Drosophila melanogaster: one gene and its partner. The protein of the gene in region 1 interacts with the protein of each later gene in a pairwise test. Each region holds a gene or a part of one and is shown on either strand. Other genes may lie near its edges. The genes, in order: COX4L and CG30089.

The links.
Region 2: the proteins of COX4L (region 1) and CG30089 interact in a two-hybrid assay, tested with the Drosophila melanogaster proteins (one large-scale study listed by BioGRID).

Annotation. Positions count from the first base shown.
Region 1 is NT_033778.4:5,352,287-5,355,385, reverse strand, and holds COX4L (cytochrome c oxidase subunit 4-like), read right to left. Parts: upstream 1,393-3,099; 5' UTR 1,341-1,392; exon of another isoform or gene 1,278-1,340; 5' UTR 1,262-1,277; coding exon 731-1,261; 3' UTR 663-730; downstream 1-662.
Region 2 is NT_033778.4:15,725,358-15,729,285, reverse strand, and holds the start of CG30089 (uncharacterized protein), read right to left. Parts: upstream 1,906-3,928; 5' UTR 1,360-1,905; intron 1-1,359.

The DNA of each region.
Region 1 (3,099 bases):
GATTTGCTCGCGCTTATACCACTTTTTTCTCGAATTTTGGCGGAGGAGTCGTGGGAATTGGAAGCAATTCGAAGTATGGACCTGCAATCTGCCGCGGTAACGACACGGTTATTGCCACAATTATAGTTTTTTCTATAAGATTCCTTGTTTTTAATAAAATTTTGTTGTCCTACCTTTCAAATTATGGACGATATTCAAAACTGGGGGCGCTAATCTGATGATGCAAAACACGTGTTCAATTTTGCGCCAAAGTTAACACAAAGCAGAATAAAAGAGATAACTGTTCTTCTCTCAACCTCTTTTTTATTCTCAAAGAGAGAGGGAATATCAGTGAACAAAAAACAATAACATTGATAGATTTTCGTGCAATGGAAAATACAGATCATAAGATGAAACGGTGGCATACAGGGAGGCGCTAATCTGATGACGCGCAGTGTACGTGTACTAGTCAAAGGAACACAGGACACGATTTCAATGCTTAACATATCTATCGTGGACTAAAATTACACTAAATTAAGTTGTGTCTGAGAATTTACATACACACCCTAATTTCAAACGGGAGGAAATGCTATAGTCGAGTTACACAGCTAGAGACACAAAAATCTATAGATATTGGGTATTTGCCCGATTCAGCACGTAACGATCAAATGGCAAGCGACTTTGCTGTTGAATTGTATTTTGCTAGTTACGTTTCTGTACATAGTTTACGGAAAATCATCGTGTTGATGTGCTACTTCCACTTGTTCTCTCGGTAGCACCATTTGGACGCTAGTCCAGTTATTGGGTTCATTTGCAGCTGGATGATGCGCCGCAATTGGGCCGACTGGCGCTCATCGTTAAACGTATCCGGCAGTTTTCCATAGAGAACGGTCTTCATAGTTATCGATATCGCGATTCCGATTGACACAAGCCACAAAGCGACGCCCAGACACATCTTCCATTCGGGTGTAATGTGCTGGAATTCTGCATATGTTTGGCAGAAGCTATATCGGTATAATTGCTTCTTTTCATCCAGCGACAGCTTCTTCCAGTCGTCCAACTCCTTTTCACGTAGGGCACACAACTCTGGGCTAACCTCCCGATATCGAATAGCCGGAAAAGGGCAGTCCGGACTATCGAAGTATATGGGTCGCCCATTGATTCCATGACCAACGACCTGGCGATCGGCGACCATAAGTCGAATACCATCTCCTCCACTGGCAAACCGACGCCTCGTCATCTGGAAAAGTTTCCTCAATTTCATACAGGGAAATAAGCTCATTTCGACGGCAGTGTACCTGTAATTATGCGCAAGCACTTGGTCGTAACTGTACCTTGAGTGTATTTTATTTTATACTCGCTTTTCAATTTTTTGTTTTTTACTTCATCCGGAAATTCGACAGTTGTGTTGCTCGTGTCGAATGAAAATGAAATTTCTCTAGTCTGTTTGTTGAATACAAAAAAAAATATGACAGTTTCCTTATCTACAAACTAGATGTACTTTTTAAGTTCTGAATTGCACTCTTCGTTGAGCACTAAGATAGTCTGAAAATTTTACTTCTTCTTAAAAATTGTTTAAGGCGTGGCAAAAATTATGAAGATCAAATTTTTTGTCACAAAAAAAAAAACAAACATTTTTAAAAATGGCTGTCATGTCAGCTCAAAGAAGCTGGGTTCGGAAAAATCGAATTTTTGAAATCTAGAACTGTTTGCCCAATAATTATTTTTTTTGCCCACGTCCAGTTTTCAATATCTGAAATTTTGATAAAGTTTAAGAATCAACTAGTTGACTTTTTTCAAAAATTTTTAAATCGCAATAACATTGTTGGCCCACCCTTAAGAATTTTAAAAAAAGCTATACTTTAGAAAATATAAGACATTAAAGACAATCTCGCTCTACTTAGAGAATGAAGCATTTGCCAATCTCTTAAAAGTAAATATCATGAAAAAAAAAAACACAAAAATAAAACAATTCCGAAAACAAAAATTTTAAAAACTTTCCAAATAATTATTTAATAATTAAATTTGTAATTTGTGAAAAATTGTCGAGCTATTCTTTAGATATTTCCTATTTTTACGGTTTTTTCCCCAAATTGCCTCTTCGAAGCCGAAATCAAAATCAATCCGTCCCTCAGTGTTAATTGGCAGGTTATCATCTATATTGGCACGAACCAGAGTGGCTGCAAGGGCCACGAGAGCTATGGCCAGCGAAAAGCGACACTCATCCAGTGGCAGAGTAAGCGCAGCGCGCGGTCAAAGTGCATTTCGTCAAAACCCCGTCTATCGACTTCCTCGAACGTTTTTCCAAACTGGACATATGTTCGAGGGCTGCCGCAAGGGCTCGGTCCCGCCCAATTCACGACCCCTAGTTAAGGAATCCGAGAGGCAGAAAGAACTCTGGTCCCCATTGCGCAGAACCGAGCATACGGCGGAAGCAGAAGCATCTGGCAGATAAAAGGCCCCTTCCAGAGTCCAGTCCGTTCGGGAATCTGTTTCCATTCATAACTATGCCAGCATTCGAAATTAAAAACAAGAAATGTTTCTCGACTATTAGAGTGTGTGTTTTACCCAGCAAGTGTGAATGCGTACTCCAAATAATAAAATTAACGAAACAAAATAAACTAAAAACAATGCTTCAAAAATGTGGGCTTGGCGGTTTTGGGATGTTTTAGGGCATTAGAGTGGGCCTTTTAAAAAAGTTTTTTGGCAAATATATATAAATTACAAGACTAATAAAATTATGACAAAATATCCAAAATTTTTAAAAAAAAGTGGGAGTGGCAGCTTTAGGCGCTTTTAGGGCGTTAGAGTGGACGTGGCAACCAATTTATTTTTGCAAAACGATAGAAATTTACAAGACTAATAATAATGTAAAAAATTAATTAATTAATAATTATAAAAAAATTAATGTAAAATATAATTTTATAGTTCCTGAATCTTGACGTTCATACGGACAGACGGACATGGCCAGATCGACTCGGCTATTGATCCTGATCAAGAATATAAATACTTTATATGGTCAGAAACGCTCCCCCCCACTGCCTGTTACTTTTTAACGAATCTAGTATGCCCTTATACTCTACGAGTAACGGGTTATTAAAAAAGGGTTATTATTTGCAT
Region 2 (3,928 bases), about 10 Mb from region 1:
TGGCACTGTCGAGTGCCTTTTGAGTTGTTTGTCAATATGTAGACCATTATTCAATCAATATATTGACACACATTTCATTTCCTCTCGACAAACGCCCGCCGCCATACTGGCAGTCCTTCGAGTGGAGGCCACCATCTCCCCTCTGGCCCATAATCCGGCCAAGTGCTAATCGCAAACAAAGTAGTTTTTGCTTGAGTTCCATTTCAATTTCTTTTGACGTCTCACCCGCTCATTTTGGCCCATTTTTATGGCCCGTGGCTGTTTGGTTTTCGCTACGCCTTCGCCGCCACTTCCTTGCGAATCCATCCAATTCGATTCGATTGATTCCTTCGTCTCAGCTTTACGTACTTTGACACACTTCCAAGGCTCCGTGATGCCTGTGCCCCCAGGGACTTACATTTCCGCTTAACTATTGTTGGCGGGGCAGGAGTTCTTAGGGATCGAGCGGAGGGGATGGTGGCAAAGGAAAGGGAAAGCGGAGAGTATACTCCTCAAATTGAATTTGAAGCCGGGTTCCCTTCTCTGTTATTTGCACACGAGCCGATATTCCACTTCTTGTGCCTTCCCATTTTTAATTTAATTCGGCATTCGGCGCCTTTTGCTTTGGCACTTAAAAAGTTTTTCCCAGTGCCCGAAAGTAGGCAACGCATCCCGACCCGTATTCGATATAGGAAAAAATCGTGTCAGTTAATGCACTGTGGGAAAAATAGTATTTAAGGAAATAAAAGTAAACTTTAAAAGTGGCCTTAATACTTTTATTTTATATGATGAAAGTTTACATTAATAAAGAGCACTAACACATATAGATTGGTTTACTTAATAGTTCAGAAAACACAGTATTACGTATTTCAAATCGTTGTATGTTTCAATCATTTTAAAATTGCATTGACACAAAACCAGCAGACAGGTTGCTCAAAACAAACTAAATTTAGTAAAATATTATTTCATGCTTTAATTTAATTTTGCTTTTAATTCTGTACTATTTTTTCTCACTGCTCTGGCATCGAAATGCGCAAACGAATGCGATCGAGTTGCTAAATCACTTAAGCCATTCAAGTTTCGTTTCGATTTTGAAGCGAGGCAAGGAACAGAGAAATTGTGATAGAGAGATTACTTTTGTAGTTGGGAGATTTGTTAGGGAAAGCTGGAGTATCAGTGCTGCGGATTGACTTCTGAGGCATGCCCCAATAATCCGCACTGAAGAGATGAATTCCCAAGGCCCGTGCACTGCATAATTAAGTGCGGTATTCAATTTAAGTTTTTCCTACTTCTCCTAGGGCTTCAATTAACGAACTAAAAACAAGCTGCTAACTTGGTCAAAACAAAGAAGGGCTGCAGCGAAAGGTGCTCTCCACTTACCATGCAGTTCGCCTGCCCTTCGGATCCTACCGTTGTGAGGGGCAAATACAAAACAGGACCTTAAAGCTGCTTTGACTGGCGGCTGCTCTTCAAAGTTTCAAGGCTCTGGCCAAGTTTTTTTTTGTCCACCTCGAGTCCTTTGCGAATGTCAGGGGCGGCGGCGACGGGGGCGTTGTGATGCGCTTAATTATGCTAAAAGCAGGCAGCAACTTTGCCAGCTACAGAAATGAATATTTACACCTGCCCGGATGCAAATGTGCCGCCAATGTCAAAGCCATTCAGTGTCGTAGTGCCAGAGGTAAACAAAACTCCGATATGTATCTTTTGGCACTATTCAATGCTAGTGATTTTATTTAGTTAACGTGTTTCACAAATCACTTTCGAGTCCAAAGTTTTTGGGCTGCTCGTAAACTCTTTTAATGTTCTCAAACACTTTTAGAAGCCGCAGCTATTTCTCACTTCTTACGACTTTTGGGAATTGTCCCGTTGAAGACCGGAAAAACACTGCACAGGCTTTTGCGACGGAAAACGCGAACGAACTGACTGGCTGGGAAACTGAACAATGGCTTTTCAATGCTAACTTGGCTCGGGCTTGGAAAACTCAACACGCGCTCTCTGCCATTTTTTGGTGAGTCTGCGCACGCTTTTCCGCGCTCTGTTAATCTGCACGTGCATTTCACTTCCAGGAAAATCGTCCCGCATCCGCTACCAACCGAAATGTGTGTGGAAAATGTTTGTTTACATTTGGCAGAAAGCAGCTGGAGAAGGAGGCGGAAGGACTTGTGGGAATCGGGCCCCAATTGGATGTTGCCTACTTTTGGGCCCGTGAAATATGACTTCTGCAATCGAAGTGGAGATGCAATTGCATTTGGCCTAAAGGCCTGCAACCAGCTGTTCCGGAAGCGTTAGTTAGGCTAGTAAGCCGGGCTAAAACCGATTGCCGACACAGCTTTGACACAGCCTCCATCCATCTAATGAACAGCCGCCTTTCGCCGGCTGCTGATGGACAAAGTTTTTTAATTATCATTAATGAACTCGCAGGGCGCAATCATTGGCCAAGTTGTGCTTTGCAATTATTTTAATGTTCAATGAGGTTGCTGCAGCAGTCATCGCCAATGATTTATTACCGCCCCCTTAGCTTTTCCGAAGGCCATGGCCGTCGGAGTCCAGAGTCCATAGTCCAGAGTCCAAAGTCCGAAGCCCAAAGTGTGTGTGAGTTGCCGGCATTGGCAATTAGATAGCTGAAGGGAGGGGAGGTAGCGGGAAGGTCCATGAAACAGCGTTTATGTTTAATGCGTTATAATGGCCGTTGTAAGTGTACATAAGTTGATATAAAAGTTTTATGGCCCAGGCGTGAGCAGCCTCCGGGATCCGATATGGAAAAAGGAAAATGCGGGACGGCAAAACCGAAGGGGCAGGGAAACGGGCTGGATAGTAAAACCACAATGGAGCACAGCGAAAACAAACAAATCGATGAGTTATTCCCAAAGTTAAGGCAATTGAAATTTAGATTTAATTTCACTCTCGACACTCTGGTCAGAAAATAAATTATTGACTTTCCAATTGAATTATTGCCACTGCCGGCTAAAGCTACAAATTTATGATTTTTGTTATGTCTCTTTTTGGCTGGAAAACCCCAAAGATGGGCTTTTTTGAGGTTCTCGATCGGGATCAAGCTGGAACATAAATAATTTAGCCCAGACCTTTTATTGAATTACTCTGATATTGCCAGCCATAAATTATGTATATTCAACAATTTTCCATAATTTATGCGTGCTTCAAAACAATTTAACCCCCCGCCCGCCACATGAAACACATCGATGGAAATAATTTCAATAGAAAGACCTAAGCGTATGCGGCGGCCAAACAAACACGCACGAATGCCTCCCCAAAACACGCACACAACCACACACACGCACTTTCAACCGCCCACGCACACAGCCACACGCGTACGTGTGCTTAGACAGATATCCGTATCTATAACTGCCTCACAATTGCATCGCACTTGCCACGGAAAGACCGATAAAAGAATAAACAAGGAATTTGGGGTAAAAGCGTCCATAAAACACACTTTCAGTTAACTTATTTATTATATATATTTTAATGAAAACAACGTGCAACATACAAACTTTAAAGAAGGGAAATTTTCTTACATCTCCCATATGACTTGATTAAATCATCATGGAACTTTAATCAGCATATGCAGCAAACAAAAATGTTTTAAATATAAGATCAAATAGGTTTCTTAGCAAAGGAAAGGAATATATTGTAGATGGGTGTTACCCCTTCATAGGGCAGTGCCCTTAACCACTTCCATTTCGCTTTTACAACCCTGCCCTTGCAAGTGAGCCGAAGGACCCAGACCCCATTTATGACATATGCGCAGGTCGAAGGGCAGTGGTGGGGGAGTAGGGCCTGCAGCCGGCAGACGCATCGCCAGGACAACTCCAATCCCCTTTCGCCGATCCAACCCCAATATCCCCGCCCCCCTTTTCAGCCACCAGAGGCAGTGGCAAAAAATCTTCGGTTTAAGCGATTTCGCCTGCTTGGGGCAAGAAGTTTTTCCTTT